2 linked regions of the Alligator mississippiensis genome follow. Each later gene encodes a partner of the first gene's protein in a complex. Links are inferred from orthologs where the notes say so. Each region holds a gene or a part of one and is shown in the gene's direction. Other genes may lie near its edges. The genes, in order: RHEB and PDE6D.

Evidence for each region.
Region 2: the proteins of RHEB (region 1) and PDE6D are in contact, whole or in part, in a crystal structure (PDB 3T5G), measured with the Homo sapiens proteins. The link is inferred for Alligator mississippiensis from reciprocal best matches to the Homo sapiens genes RHEB and PDE6D. Residues at the interface, in NP_005605.1 of Homo sapiens: Pro2, Gln3, Ser4, Gln57, Asp77, Gln176, Gly177, Lys178, Ser179, Ser180, Cys181; in NP_002592.1 of Homo sapiens: Ile53, Leu54, Cys56, Val59, Val80, Gln85, Cys86, Leu87, Glu88, Glu89, Trp90, Ile109, Glu110, Ala111, Ala112, Pro113, Gln116, Met117, Met118, Leu123, Tyr149.

The regions. Positions count from the first base shown.
Region 1 is NC_081828.1:207,411,912-207,420,312, forward strand, and holds the start of RHEB (GTP-binding protein Rheb), read left to right. Parts: upstream 1-5,005; 5' UTR 5,006-5,020; coding exon 5,021-5,132; intron 5,133-6,760; exon of another isoform or gene 6,761-6,775; coding exon of another isoform or gene 6,776-6,785; intron 6,786-8,401. UniProt on the Homo sapiens protein: Small GTPase that acts as an allosteric activator of the canonical mTORC1 complex, an evolutionarily conserved central nutrient sensor that stimulates anabolic reactions and macromolecule biosynthesis to promote cellular biomass generation and growth.
Region 2 is NC_081830.1:84,860,515-84,868,335, forward strand, and holds the start of PDE6D (retinal rod rhodopsin-sensitive cGMP 3',5'-cyclic phosphodiesterase subunit delta), read left to right. Parts: upstream 1-4,334; 5' UTR 4,335-4,467; coding exon 4,468-4,517; intron 4,518-7,821. UniProt on the Homo sapiens protein: Promotes the release of prenylated target proteins from cellular membranes. Modulates the activity of prenylated or palmitoylated Ras family members by regulating their subcellular location.

The DNA.
Region 1 (8,401 bases):
CAGTGGCAGAAGGTTCAGGGAAACAACTGCGTATTTGATTACATAGCACTGGAGTTTCACTTCTGAAAATCAGTGTTGAGGTCAAAGTTTAATTGGGAGTATCATTGGCTTTGCAAAGCCTACAGGCTAGTGCATGGTTGCTCGAGGCCTGTACTCGTATTTTGTAGTCCAGCTCTTTCCCTGTTCCAGAGACCTTGACATGGCCTGGTGTGAAGAGGGCAGTTGAAAAGTTTTTAGTAAAGGTGTTTTTTTGGGAGTTCTTGCTCCCAGGGCCTAAACAATGTTTGGGAGCTCAGAAATAAATCTGAGGCTGCCAGAAGGGGGGGAATCTCTTCTCGCTTCTTCCTCTTCAGTCTTGGCCTCCTAGAGATCCTCTGGCTTGCAGTAGTAAGGTGTCTTTGAGTAACAGGAGGGGAGGGAAGGGAAACCGTAGTATGTTAACTTAAACACTGCAGATTTGACATGCTCTTGAACTTACTTGATTTGACATACTCTTGCTCTTATCAAGACCCTGCATCACAGACAGACTTGGAGAAGATCTAGCAGTTTCAATCATACAGACCTGTACTAGGAAAATTGTTGCTGAGAAAGGTAGTAAGAGAAGAACTTAATAAATCTGAACGATTGGCCTGTGCTTCAAAGGGGCCACTTTGCAGCTCAGCTGGAGCACTACTGCAGTCCTTTGCAGCTGTTTGTGGCTGTGGCTACCTCTGGTTATTTCGCAAAACCTCACCTTTGCAAGGAGGTATAAGGACCCCAACTGTGGGAAGTATCTGGGTTCTAGTGTGGTTTCGTGCAGAGCTGAGCTGCTGTTCACCTTGCCACTTAGTTCTTATCCCTCCCACAAAAGCTGTGTCCAAAGCCCTAAGGCATTTGGGATGTACAAGGACCATATATGGGCTTGGCAAACCTCTGAAGGCTGGTGTTCTCTCTTAATGAAATTCAGTTCTCACCTGGTTGGTATGCATCATAGTTGTGCAAGAGCATGATTACATCTGACTAACTGTAGGAGTGACTACTACAAGTCTTTTGTCTCAGTATATCAAGTGAGGTTTTTCACTGCAGACCTTGTAAGGAGGGAAGTTCATCACATTTTTCTTCCTCCTGATATTGCGTTACAACTGTTATAAGGAAACTGATTCAAACTTGAGGGTGTTTGTATCTTTGATAAGGAGTAGAGCTGTGGGGAAATGTTGCCCCCCACATGTGCACACATTCCCAAGACTGTTGCCCCCCCATCTGGGAAAGGCAAAGGGGAAGTTGCTACTGAACTCTTCTGTGATCAGTTGGAAGGAGCCTGGCAGCATACAAGCATTCATTACATGCAGGCCCCAACTATCAACCTGGATGATATTTCTCCTGGAGTGAGGAATTGAACAAACACTTGTACACACCTAATTTCTATGGGGAGAGCAGCAATTCTCCCAGTAGAAATGTCAGGCATGTACATGGCCCTAGTCGGTCCTACATGGTACATGTAACAATGTAATATTTTTCTCAGTAGCCTAATGGGAGTTGTTAACAGTACAGTTGCATAGCATTGAAGCCCTTCAGCACCTTGTGGAGAATCTCTTGGCGCTTCCAAAATGCCATCCTATGATTGCCCTCGCTATTCGCTGGTTCAGCATTCGTGGTTTCAGATATTCACGAATGCTGAACCCTCATTTTAAATACACTCTGCGCTTTTGCCACTGCTGCCGCCACTCCTGCCACCGCCGCCATGCTCCCGCCATCACCAGCACAGCCAAACGCCATCCTATGATTTCCCTTTGTCATTTATGGGTTTGGCATTCACAGTTCCAAATACTTGTGAATGCCAAACCCATATCTTAAATATACTTAAGGGAGCTCCTCTGGAGCTCTGCGCTTGCTGCCACTGTGCTCCCACTGTTGCCAGCGCAGCCATGCCCTCCCCCCCCTCCCCCCCAGCTGCCGGGGCACTGCTTTCATAAACACAGACAGCATTCATGAACACAGTGCCTTATTCGCGGATTTCGCCGTTCGTGGGGGATACGAGAACGTATCCCTTGCGAATGGCGAGGGTCTCCTGTACTAGCTAGGGAACAAGGGTTTAACTAATGCAGGGTTGTGTTGGTTCTACCTAACCACATGCTCTGAGATGATCCCTCATCACTTCCCTTGTTGAAGAGTTGGTGTCTTCAGTTGTAAAATATTATTCTTCAGACTGGAGTAGAGAAATCATTGGTTAAATGTACACTCATACAGCAAACTAGCTATGTGAGTCATGATTTAATTGTCTGAAGTCCAATCAGTTGTGCTGAAATGGCTTTATGGATGACTTTATGGAATATAATTCAGTTTCCGCAAGGTACAGTGCTTAGGATGCTGCTTAGCATCCTGGGGTGCCTTGATCCTTTCAAGGGTGATGCACAAGATTAGCATTGTTGTTAGGTATGCAGACATGGTTCATGTGATAAACCCAGAGATTTCCAAAAGGAATCCCTTGTATTAAACCCATTCTGACCTTTTGTCATCTTCATGAGTTCTTTGCAACAGAAGAATTGTCCTTTTTTTCTGTTGTAAAAAAACAAGTGAAAGGTAAGAGCTGGCATCTTCAGAGAGGGGTGCCTTGGGTCTAAAAAAGTAGGCAACCTCTTTAACTCCTAAGCCAGTGGTACTCAAAAGTAGATGCTAACAACTGCAAATAGGCGTTCCATGTTTAAATGTTAAATTTTTTGAAATCCATCCACAGTTCTATCATAGTGGAGATTTGTAGCTGTTCTCATAGATATACCTCTACCGGTTTGAAATTGAACGGAGTAGCAGGAATAGTCCAATTCATATTCTTCTTCTTCCTGAAGGCTAGCTGCTTTATTTTGTCTCCCTTTTTTTTAGGCAATAGTCTGAGTTAGCCTGAGGAAGGGTACCGTGATCCTTGGAAAGTATAGGTGTACCAATACGTCGGTCTGATATCATATTGGTACCAGTATGAAGAAAACTGGCTGTATCAGATATTGGCTCAATAGGGCTGATAATTTGGCTGATAAATACCCGTGCTGTGCGCAGTTGCAGTGCAGGGCTCGGGCAGCGAGGAGCACAGCTGGCAGCATGGAGAGCTGCCTCCAGCTGGTAACTCTGGTGTAGTGGAAGGGGAGGGAAAAGGGGGCCAGGGGGGCAAATGAGTACACCCTGTGGTGAGGGAGGGGGCAAGTGCTGCCCAGGTGGGGGTTGGGGCTGGAGTGACAGCTTATGGGGGGGAGGGGAAGCGGTTCCCACTGCTTCTTGCAGTGTGGGAGGGCACAGGGCAGGGGTGTACCCCCCCAGATGTGCATGGGGCAGGGTGGGGCAGGCTGCAGCCAGGGCTTTTCTTGGCGGGGGCTGGGTTTGGAGCAGGCACCAATGGTGCTGGGAGGATGCTGCATCTACCCCACGTTTTGCAGCAGCTCCACTGCCAGCTGTCTGGGGCAGCCCCGGTTCAATGCCCTGCCTCCACCCACAAGCTGGGGCTGCGCTGGGCAGCTGACAGCAACGGCACTGGGAGCAGAGCAGCGGCGAAATTTGGGGTGGATGCAGCATCCTTCCAGCATCATTAGTCCCTGCTCTGAGCCCAGGACCTGCTGAGAAGAGCCCCACACAGCCCTGGCTGCAGCCCAACCTGCCATGTGCAGGTCGGGCTGCACTCCCCTCTCCCCCTCCCCCATGCCTTCCTGGGGTGCAAGCAGCAGCAAGAGCCACCTCCCGCCGCGCGCGCCCCCTCCTCCGCCATGAGCCGCAGCTTCGCGCTTCCCCCCAACCCTGCCTGGGCAGTGCCTGCCCTGTCCCTGCCCCCTCCCTCACCATGGGGGGGGGGTGTTGTGCCCTCCCCCCTTCCCTTCCACCACACCGGACTTACCAGCTGGAGGCAGCTGTATTGGAAATCAGATTGGTATTGGCCAATATGCCTCCTTAAATATCAGCTGTTGGTATTGGCCTCGAAAATCTCTATCAATGCACTCCTACTGAAAAGTAGGCCTGTGTCAGTAGGGAAGTATTTGATTTGGATTCGACCGATTTGGAGGACAGCGATTTGATTTGGAAATTTGGATCAGTGTCCTGAATGAATTCAGCTGAATCAGCTTTGGAAGATTTGGTGCTGATCTGAAGAAATTCGGTGATTCAGTTCTGCCGAGGAGAGGCCATGGGGGCTTCTCTCGCTGCTCCTTGGCTGTGCCTGCCTCTGCCCTTGTGGGGGGAGCCGTGGGTCCTATGCCCTGCTGCTGCTTGCCCGGCCGGCGTGGGAAGGGCATGATGCAGGCACGGTTCGCTCCAGGTGGCAGCAGGGCATAGTCCCCGCTCCCAATGCTGCTGCGCCCACATCAGTGCTGGGAGTGGGGGCTCTGCCCTGCTGCAGCTTGCCAGCTGGCACAGGAAGAGGGTGCAGCAATGCTAGGAGCAAGGGCTGTGCCCTGCTGCTGCTTGTCCCCTTATGTCTGGAGTGAGCTGTGGCCCCCCCCCACCTCGGCCCCCCAGCCTCCCTTCCCGAGTAACACGCCCCTCTGCCACGGCTGGGCCGCTTGTCCCAGCCCCAATCCCTCCCTCCCCCCACATCCCTTCCCTTCCCACCCTCCCAACCCCAACAGATTTACCAGCTGGAGGCAGCTGTCAGCTAGCTGCCTGTTGCGTCTATGGCTGAATCGGCCAAATCTCTTCCGAATCGATTTGGAGTTTTTACTCGATCTCCTGATTCAATTCGGTTTCGGAGATTCGGTCCCTGTATTGGGCCGAATCTCCTCTGAATCGAATCAGCTACCGAAGCTTCACACAGCCCTGCTGAAAAGCTTGTCTTTGTCTTTCCAACTATGTAGTTAGTCCAATAAAAACTACCACACAGAAGATTCTTGCCTTACCTTGAACAAGACAGTTATCCACTACACAAATTGTGGGTGAAGCTTAGTGTTACTCCCATCAGTAGCCAGTCAGAATCTCAATGACAGTTAGAGGTACACCGATATATTGGTCCCATGTTGTATTATCACTGATTTAAGAAAAATTGACATCAGCAATCAGCTTTTTTTGGCTGATGTGGTTGATTAATGTTGCAGATAAATGCCCTGTCCATGTGTGCAGCTGCAGCTCAGCATGCCAGGCAGCCAGGAGCACAGCCTGGCAGTGTGGACAACAGCATTCGCCTGGTAAGTATTGGCCAAATCAGCCATTGGTATTGGCCCAAAATATTTCTATTGGTGCACCCCTGATGATACAGGCAGTCCTCGACTTACAACGTTTTGAGCTACGTTTATAAATTGACACCCTGTTTCAACTTTATGACGTCAGTTTCGACTTTACAACACTTGATCCAATGCAACGCCATGCCAGCAAACAAGTTCGCTGCATTGCCCATCTCCCTGGAGAACATCTCTCCAAACTTCCTTGGACACTTTCTTTAAGGAAGCAGGCAAGACTCCAGAAAACCCTACAGCCAAGACTCGAGAAGACTCCAGCCAAGAACCCTTCAAAAAGTCCAACCAAGAGCTCTTCAAAAAGTCCAGCAAAGTCACCTCAAAGAAGTCCTTCCAAATCAATATGATTGCTATTTACAATATAAATACATTAATGTAGCTGTATTACTCATCTATAATTGATGGAGTACAAAATGTTTGGGTATTTTTGGTGAAAATAGGGTATTGGGCCTTGGTTCAGGAACCAATCCCCCATTTATAACATTGTTTCTTATGAGAAAATTGGTTCTGAGTTACAGCGTTTCGACTTAAGACACAGTTTTCAGGAACCAATCGTGTCATAAGTCTGAGGACTGCCTGTAATTAGAGGAATTTAAGAGTTACTAATTGGGGTTCATGCATTAAGTGTCCTTCCAGTCCCGCAAAGTATTCCTAGTACCTCATTGGTACTGTCTTTGTTGGTTGGACCAGTGACATTCTCACTGGAGTTTATCTGAGAGACCTAGGAGAACTCAACAGAAGTACAGAAACAAAGCTGTTGTCTCTGTTCGTTAACAAGACTCGGTATCCTAATCCTAGGAAGAATGCAGTCTAAACACCTGGAGAAAATCTTGTCAGTAAAGAGTTCAAGCTAACTCTGTAAAGCAGTAATATTCTTGGAGCCTCAAGCCTTCCTTAACAGGGACTGAAGCCTTTGAAAAAAGGGTGCCAGATGTAATGACCTAGGAGCCACTTACGAGAGTCCTGGCTGTGTGTAAATATATTGTGGTCCATGGTGGCACGCAAGTACAAAACTGTAGAATTTGCCTGTGGAGCATTAGGAGGACTTGCCAGGGGTTTTTTTTGTTCTTGAGAGCACTGAGCAGTAGTCTGCTGTTGCTGGGCTTGTCCCACTTTGCAAGGCTTTGGGAGAACTTGGGGAATACGTTCAAAGAACCAAATGTGTTGTTTCCCTTTCCCTTTGCAGTTCTTAGGGAACGGAGAGTAGTACTGCAGCATCTCCTAGTCCTGGAGAAAGTTTTAACCTAACTATTTTGTACATGGTATTTCTTTACTAAATGGTCATACTAACAGTACAGAATGTTGTGAGCAAAATTTTTAGTTTGGTGGGGGGGGGGGGAAGGGGGAGGTCTGGTGTGTTTTTAACACAAAACTGAATGTTCTTTCTGTCCTCCCACTTTTGTAAAAGCTCTTTTGGCTGGAAAAATAGCCAAATCTTGTTACAGATCCCTTTTATCTGATCAGTGTCATTTATGACTTCCTACACTTGAATAATTTTCGGTTCTAAAACCGCTTGTGTTTTTATCAGCCTACACTTCGGTGGCATGGAGCCTGGAAACATGAATCTTGAATGACTTCAAGAGTACTACTTCAGCATGCTACTTGGTAAAGCAGTAGAGTGGTCTGCTTTATATGGCGTTGGACATTTCAAGTGCTGTCTCCAAATATACGGTGTAACCTAGGAAGTACTGCATTTGGGCAACTGATCTGAAACCTCTTCAAAATTCTCAGATGTACCCAATTCAGTTCTGCCTTTATTTGGGGAGAACACCAGCAGAGTGTGTGAGATCACTTTTAAGTGGTTACCCAAGTACTCTTGTATACAGAGATCATGACATGCAAAATCTCTGAGCTCTTGATCTGTAACTTGACTTGAAATGCACTTGAGATATGACTCTCTCCTAAAGGTAGTCTCTGTATGTCAAAGCTTGGCTTGTGCAAACTGCAGTGACTTACTGGAAGTAATGAGTATGGCTGAATTTGTACATAGGAAGCTTACGGAGGCTACAGTTGTTCATCTCTAGGAAGGTCATGCAGTGGCATACCATTTTGGAGCTGATATTCTTACACACCCATTCCCCCCTAGTTGGCTATAGCCTCTCTCTTTCTACCACTATCAAAACCTACTTTCTTAATCACTGGGGTTTTTTATGAGATATCTGCCTGTCAAGTATTGGTTGACAATGTGTGTAGATGAGCTACAAGGTAAAGGGGATGGGAACTTGCTACGTTAACTACTCTTGGCAGCTCTCTTGGCGTCAAAGCTAAGATACTGCAATTTACTTTTCACCTGCTGTGGGGAAACTGTGTACAAATGAACAGTTACTAAAGAGCAGCTGGTGGGCAGAAAATCCCTGTGCCCTTTACCTTGCAGTGTGTTGTTCAATGATGTAACACAAGCTTTCAGCTTCTGGTTCAAAAGGGTACCTGCCAGCTTCTTTCACAATCTTTCCCATGCCGTGTGTTTAATGGGGCACGTGGTAAATGTGGTCTAGTGCAAGAGCCCCATGGACTGTGGAGTTCCATCAGCAGGGTGAAAAACTTGGGCTGTACTTTATTTGTCTTCTGAAGGTAAATTTGAGACAACCTATAGAAACTGGCACTTACACAGCAAAAGTAAAATTGTAGTATGGCCTATCCGCTGTCCTGGGATAGACAAAATTTTGAGGGTTTAACTCCCTCCCCCAGCCCCACATGTCAACTGATTCTTTTGCAAGACTCAAATGATTCATAAGGTTAGTGTCACTAAATTTGTTAAATTCTTGAATCTTCTATAATTGCTTTCACTGTTGGGTGCTAATGCATGTGATATACACAGTTAATCTGCTTTACCCTGATGTCAAAGCTTTAGTTTCCAGTCCAGTTAGTTTTTGATTGTTGGTTGGAGGAGTTCCTGCAAAACCAACAAAAGTTACAAAGGAGCACAAAAGGCCTAATTATAGTCCCAGAAATAGCAAACAGCCCCTTAACTGTCTTGTAGGATTATGTTATATTGTATTGGTAAATACTGCAGAACACAGGATTTGCTGCAGTAGAAATGGTGTTAACTTCCATGGCACTACTAAATAAATGTCTTGTTCCCCATGCTTAATAAAACTGTTTAGGCAAGGGTGCATAATGTCTTTGTTTCCACCTTCATGTAGTCTGCAACCAGATGCCCAGCTTGCTCAAATACTGCCTCTTATAGCACATGGCATCACTCAAATATGACCTTTGTGACG
Region 2 (7,821 bases), on another chromosome or scaffold:
ACTGCAGGCGGGGGTGGGGGCAGTGTTGGGGAGGATGGGGCTGGGATCATGGGGCAGCGACAGGGCAGGGCTGGGGCCTGGGGCAAAGCCACAATCCACTCCCCACACGTCTCTGCCCACGGGACCAGCGCCCGTCACAGGGACCTGTGGGGAGTGGGTCGTGACTCTGCCCCAGGCCTCGGCCCTGTACTGTCACTGCCCCATGATCTCGGCTCCAGCCCCAGCCCTGGCTGCCTGTCCTGTTCTTGGATGCTGCTCCCCGCACACCTGCGGCCCCATCCCATCTACCCAGCTGAACACGCTCTGCCTGCAGCAGTCCTGGGCCAGGCCCCATGAAGACCTCACCTGCCCGCCTGCTCTGTCCAGCACCCACGGTGGTGCGTGCAGGGTGGATGGGCCGGGGTGCCTGGGCAATGGGGCCGGGTCTGGCAGTGGTGGCAGTGGTGACACTGGCAGCAACAGCCGGGCAGAATGAGCTGCCACCACATGAATGCCACCAACATCATTGATGTCACCAACATCTTCATCACTGATCTGGATGTGGAGGTGAAAAGCAAACTGACAAAGTTTGCCGATGACACTAAGCTGTGGGGAAGTGTGGCCACACATCAGGGTAGGCTGATGATCCAGGCAGACCTAGACACATTAATTAGGTGGGTGGACCAGAACCAGATGCTGTTCAGCACTGAGGAGTGTCAAGTGCTCCATCTGAGGAGGAAAAATCCACAAACTTACAGGCTCGGTGGTGCTACGGTACCTAACACCATGTCCAAAAGGGACCTGGGGTTCATAATTGACCATAAAATGAATACGAGCCACCGGTGTGATGCTACATTTGGCAGAACAAACAATACGCTGGCGTGCATCAACCGATGCATCTCAAACAAAACGAAGGAAGTTTTTCTTCTGCTCTACTCAGCATTGGCGAGGCTGCGGCTGGAGTAAGGCGTCCAGTTCTGGGAGCCATCCCTCAAGAAGGATGTGGAGAAGCTCGAGGGAGTCCAGAGATGAGCCACTCGTATGATTAGAGGCCCGAAGAGCAAGCCATACGAGAAAAGGCTGACAGATCTGGGACTGTTCAGCTTAGAAAAGAGAAGACTTCAGGGGGATTTGGTGGCAGCTTGCAAATATATCAGGGGAGAGCATCAGGGGCTAGATGAACAACTATTCACCAAAGTGCCTCAGAGGAAAACCAGGAGCAATGGACATAAACTCCTAGAAGAAGGTTTCAGACTGGATATAAGGAAAAACTTCATGGTTTGTGTGACCAGACTCTGGAATAGACTCCGGGTGGGGCTGGTGCAGGCACCTACCTACCGAAAGGCCTTTGAACTAGTATCCCACAATGTCCTCTTGAGAAAGTTGGAGGATTGTGGGCTTAACTCCGAGACAGTCAGGTGGGTGAGAAACTGGCCGCAGGACAGAACCCAGTCGTAGTGAACGGATCTGTGTCATCCTGGCAAGAAGTGGGCAGCGGCGTCCCGGCAGAGTCGGTGCTTGGTCCTGTACTTTTCAACGTCTTTATTAACAATTTGGCTGTGGGGGTGAAGAGCTCATGGGCCAAGTTCACGGATGACACCAAGTTACCGGGGAGTGTGGTCACGCTTGAAGATAGGCTACAGATACAGGTGGACCTAGACAGGCTAGCAAGTTGGGTGGACAGGAATCTGATGAAGTTCAACATCGAGAAATGTAAAGTGCTGCACCTCGGGACGAGCAACCCCCACACACCTACAGGCTTGGCAGCACCAAACTGACCAGCACCACGAATGAAAGGGACCTGGGGGTAATAACAGACCACAGTATGAATATAAGCCGGCGGTATAACGCTGTAGCCAGCAGAGCAAATAGTACTCTGGCGTGCATCAATCGATGCATCTCCGACAAAGCCAAGGCAATGATTCTTCCGCTCTACTCAGCACTGGTGAGACTACAGCTGGAGTACTGCGTCCAGTTCTGGGCATCGCACTTGAACAAGGACGTGGACAAGCTTGAGAAAGTCCAAAGAAGAGCCACCCGCATGATCAGAGTCTTAAAAGGCAAGGCATACGAGGAAAGGCTGAGGACGTGGGACTCTGCAGCCTGAGGAAAAGAGGGTGAGAGGAGACCTGGTAGCAGCTTACCGCTGCACTAGGGGAGTACATCAAGGGCTCGGTGAGCAACCGTGCACCAGGGCACCTGAGGGGAAAACCAGGAGTAATGGCCACAAACTCCTGGAAGATCGATTCAGGCTCAATGTTAGGAAAAACTTCTTCATAGTCAGGGTGTCCAGACTGGAATAAGCTCCCTCCAGAGGTGGTGCAATCACCGACCCTGGACATCTTCAAGAGGAGATGACGGTCACCTCGCTGGGGTCGCCTGACCCCCAGTTATCTTTCCTGCTTGGTGCAGGGGGCTGGACGCGATGATCTTCTGAGGTCCCTTCCGGCCCCTTACAATCTATGAATCTACCCTGGAGCTCTTCCAAAGGAGACTGGACGCACACTGTGCTGGGGTTATTTGACCCCCGCAGTCTATCCAGCCCACAGCAGGGGGGCTGGGCCCGATGGTCTCACGAGGTCCCTTCCAGCCCCAAACTTCTGTGAATCTGAATCAGCCACTGCACCGCCTCCTGGGCACGGCAGGACCAGCCACACACGCCACAGCCCAGGCTGCCCCCCACGCCTGGACTATGTGGGACAGAGGGACCCAGCACAGGCTGGACAGAATCACTTGGTGGACCAGATCCGAGCCGTATTTTGCCCACCCTGTTGTAAACCCCTATCACGACCCCCGCCGAGGCGTCTCTTTTTCTAAGTGGAACAGGCCTGGCCTCCTTAATCTCTCCCCCGATGGCAGCCCCTCCGTGCCACTGATCATCCGTGTCGCCCTTCCCTACTTCTTCTGCATCCTTTCTGGGGTGTGGGGACCAGAGCCGGGTGCAATATTTACGGTGTGGATGCCCCATGGATCTACAAAGGGGCATCACGATAGTCTCCGTTGTGTTCACGATTGCCTCAATATTCCTGAACGTGGTGTTTGCCTTCTTGACGGCAGCCGGGCCCTGACGCAATGTTTTTAGTAAACCATCCACAGTGACTCCCTGATCCCCATCCCGTGTCATGGAGCAGAGTCCGCTCTGCTGGTGGAGACTATCAGTGCCCCCAAACCCTGCTTCTTTACAGGAAGAAAACACCCCCTGCTTCCTGGGAGTTGAGGGAAAAGAAGGAGCTCCCAGAGGTGGAGAGGAGCCAGGGTCTCCAAGCCAGAGGAGCAGCCCCTTGTGAAGCACCTGGCTGCAGGGCTGCTCTCAGCAGAGGGAGACCGAATAAGGAGGGGTCCCAAGGGAGAGCTTCCTCCTCCCCTGGGAAGGGGCAGTGGGACCCTTCCCTGCACATGGCTTGCACACAGGGTCTGGCGTTGCCAGGTTTTAAATATGGAATTATTACATTGGAAACTCAAAATACACTGAAAAAGTATGCAAATAAGCTTTCTTCTTTGTTCTACATTGCTGTGTGACTCCAAGTGAGTGAGAGCTGGGCCATCAAAAATGAAGCATTTCTTTATTCCCAGGCAAAGCAAAACGCTGGCCGCAAACCCAAAAGTTAGCAAAGATGACCTGAGAGTGACTGGGGTTTTGCATATGCTGCGCCAAGGAGCTGCCTCCAAAATGACAGCTTTCTACCCCAAAGCTTGCAAAGAACAATTTTCCCAACTCTTGGAGTTGGTTTAATCAAAGATATCAGATTTACACGAAGACCCTTGTCTCCAAAATGCGGGGCCATTTGAACACTGTTACTATGACTGATTGCCAGGGATCCTGGTTTTCCTTGATTTCAAAAAATCCTCACTTTTCGGTTAAAAAAAAAAAAAAAAAGTAACCCCAAATCCACATTTTTCCATGATTTAAAGACCACTATGTCTATATCTCTATATTAGTGGCTTTTCATTTAATCACGGGAAAATGTGGATTTGGGGTTCCTTTTTTTTTTTAAACCGAAAAGTGAGGATGTTTTGAAATCAGGGAAAACGCGGATCCCTGCGGATCGCACATGGTGCGAGAGCGGGGCCCCGCACGTGTCTCGCGCACTCTCACGTGGCGCCCGCAGGGGGCGCCGCGCCGCGCCCTTTGCAGTCCCCAGCGGCCGCGCCCCTCGCACATATTTGTCCCGCTGCGGCTCCCATCCCCGCGGCGACGTCAGGTCGCCAAGAGGGAGGGGGCGTGTCTCCTCCACCGCCCCTACTTGCGCAGCCGCCCTTGCTGGCTGCCAGGCCGCGCCGCGCTCTCATTGGCTGTGGGCGCTGTCCGTCCGGCACCGGGGGGCGGAGCGGCGAACGCCCATTGGCTGGCCCCGCCCGGGCTGGGTCGTGGCGGCTGCGGGCTGTGAGGCGCCGCGGTCCGCGCCCGAGCCCGCACGACCCGACCCGACCCGTCCTGTCTTGTCCTGTCCTGTCCTGCGCCCGGGGCGGCGCCAGCGCCGCGGGACCATGTCGGCCAAGGACGAGCGGGCCAAGGAGATCCTGAGGGGCTTCAAGCTGTATCCGCCGGGCAGGGTGGGGGCTCCGCGTTGCCATGGGGACCGCGCGGGGGGGGGCGGAGCCCACTTCGTGGGGGGAGGGGCTGCTCGGGCCCGTCCAGCGGGATCCTCAGTCCGTCCAGGGGGTGCTGAGTCTCTAATGGGGGTCTGCTTGTGTCCACCCAGGGGGCGGAGGGCCTGTTCTGGGGGTCCCAGGTTCATGCAGGGGGGTCCTGAGCCCATCCAGGGAGGCCATGAGCACATCCAGGGGGCGGAGGATCTGTTCTGGGGGTCCTGGGTTCATCCAGGAGGGTCCTGAGCCCAGCCAGGGGGTGGAGGGCCTGTTCTGGGGGTCCTGGGTCCATCCAGGGGGGTCCTGAGCCCAGCCAGGGGGTGGAGGGCCTGTTCTGGGGGTCCTGGGTCCATCCAGGGGGGTCCTGAGCCCAGCCAGGGGGTGGAGGGCCTGTTCTGGGGGTCCTGGGTCCATCCAGGGGGGTCCTGAGCCCAGCCAGGGGGTGGAGGGCCTGTTCTGGGGGTCCTGGGTCCATCCAGGGGGGTCCTGAGCCCAGCCAGGGGGTGGAGGGCCTGTTCTGGGGGTCCTGGGTCCATCCAGGGGGGTCCTGAGCCCAGCCAGGGGGTGGAGGGCCTGTTCTGGGGGTCCTGGGTCCATCCAGGGGGGTCCTGAGCCCAGCCAGGGGGTGGAGGGCCTGTTCTGGGGGTCCTGGGTCCATCCAGGGGGGTCCTGAGCCCAGCCAGGGGGTGGAGGGCCTGTTCTGGGGGGTCCCAGGTCCATCCAGTGTGGTCTTGAGTTGATCCTGTGAGTCTAACTGGAGGGTGCCGAGTCTGGCGTGGGGGGAGGGGGGGGTCCTGAGTCTGTTCAGGGGGTCTTATACTTGCCCCTCCCCCACATAGACTCATGGCCCCCCTGGATGGACTCATGGCGGGGGCATGAGTCCATTTGGGAAGCTACGAGTGTTTTTTTGGGGGGAGGGGCGGTCTCAGGTCCATCCAGATCTGGAGTCAATGCAGGGGCCGGCAAGCCCAATGCGGGGGGGGGGGTGAGTCTGATGTGGGGGTCTTGAGTCCATCCAAGGGGGGGCATGAGTCTTTCTCTGGGGGTCTCGAGTCTATCCAGAGGCTGTGAGTCCATCTGTGGGGCCGTGAGTCTGTTCTGGGTACCTTAGACTTGTGGCCCCTGCTGTAGCCTGATGGCCCCCCCTGGGTGGAGGCATCTGGGGTGGGGGTATGAGTCCATCTGGGAGGCCACGAGTCTGTCCAGGGACTGCAGGTGTGTGGGGGGGAGGTTCGAGTCCAGGCAAGGGACCACTGCTCTGTGGCAGGCCGAGAGCTGCTGGCCAAGGGCTTCGCTCCCTCCCCGAGGTTGCAGCAAAGGTTGAGCCCGAGAGCAGGAGGAGGAGCGCAAGCATGACGGGCTCCGGGGAAGGAGGTGTGCATGCCGGTTTTGTGGCTATGCTTAGCACAGGGGCAGGAGGCAGAGCTGGGTGCTGGCTGCACCGCTCCTCGCTGACAGCGTGGGGGAAGGGGCCAGACACGGGCGATGTAATTCTGTGGTATTTTTGGATGCCGTTTTTACCTAACGGGACTTCCCCTGCAGTGAGATGCATATAATCTCTTTACCAGAGATACATATAATCTCTTTACCAGCTGCATCAGGATCCGAGCTTCTAGATGTTGGATTTAGCCAAATGGCTACCATCAAATGGCAAGCAGATGCTTCTCTCTGTAAGATCATGAAGTCCTTTCTCTCTCCTCTCACCCCCCAAACCATCTGGTTTTGGGATAGTTTCCTTTTTTGTTTCCAAAGTAGCAGCAGCAAATCTTCCTGAAGCATGCAGTATGATATTTCAGTTGTCAGAAAGATGCTTAGACCAAAGGCCATTAGAGGCTAGTCAGAAGTTCAAGCTAACTTGCCGGCAGCAGCAAAGACAAAACAAAAAGTAGCTTTACGCTGGATTTCAGGAAAGACTTCTTGACTGTCAGAGCAGGGAGGCAGAGGAATAGACGCCAGGGAAGGTGCAGACTCCCTCGCTGGAGGGGTTCAAGGAGAGGTTGGACAGCCACTGGCTGGGGATGATCTGGTGTAGCGATGCCTATGCTGTACCGTGGGGATTTCTTTGCTTTTGGGCTTTTCTGGCTGACCCATGGGTCGGAAAGGAATCTTTTCCCCTCCTGCTGGTGGGGAGTCTAACATCACTATATTTGGTGTCAGGAAGCAATTTTACCCCCTGGTTAGGTTGGTCCAGACAGTTGGAGTTTTGCCTTCTATAGTAGGAGGTGTGTCCTCTACTTGGGATCTCTTGAGCAATTAATGATCTTTGCTGCAGCAGGATGTTGGCTTTACTTGTGGCAGGTTAGGGCATTACGTCTTGTGTTGCATCAGGATTGACTGTGGATTTATATGGGATGGCTTGAACAGGGCTGATCTTGCCTCAGGCAGGGGTTGGACTAGATGTGACCTGGAGCCGTCTTCCAGCCCCAGGGCTCTAGGAATCTGTTAAGTAATCTCCAAGGACTCTAAGAAATGAACAAGCACAAAATAAAATTGATATTCTTGTTGGGTCAGTATGTATAGGGACCGCATGTATCTTCTGCTTTCTAGGGAACTTGGCCACAGCTATATTTAAGTGTTGCATGAATTAAGCCCTGTGTATAGTTAAGATTACTCAAAGTAAAGTGTTTTGTCACCTTTCAAGGCTGGGGGGAAGAGGAGGTCGTGCAGGTGTAACTTTCCACTATTTTCAGCAGACATAGTTAGTATTTGTCCTACCTGAACCTACCTAAGTGGGCCAGCTTAATAACCTAAATGTTACTGCTTAGTACAGCCATGTGGGAGCAGTCCAAGTTCAGTCTTTGTTCACTTCCTGGAATGACTGGGCCCTGACCCACTCTGAAACAATACATTCAACCCCCACGGGAGGAGACAAAGTCAAGTATTAGATTGGCTGATCCAAAAAAGTCAGTACTGAAGTACTTAGTAGAGTATTATTTTTAATTTTATTAAATTCTTGAGGTAGCAGGGATTTCATGCAAAGATTTTGCAAGTCATTTTTTCAAATAGAAGTTTAGTTAAGAACTGCTTTAACTGAGGAAGGGTCCTGATGAGCTGCCCATAAATCCAAAGTCTGCATGGAGGAATTCGCCTACAAAGGAAACCATTGCAGCATTGCCCTTTGCATAGGTGTGAAACATTATGTTTGAAGAAACACTTTAACTTTCTACTCATTCTGGTATTTGTGCTAATTTGTCCTCTTTAATAGGAGGGAAAAGGGGAGCAAGTCCCTAAAAGATGGGAGTGTCTTTGTTC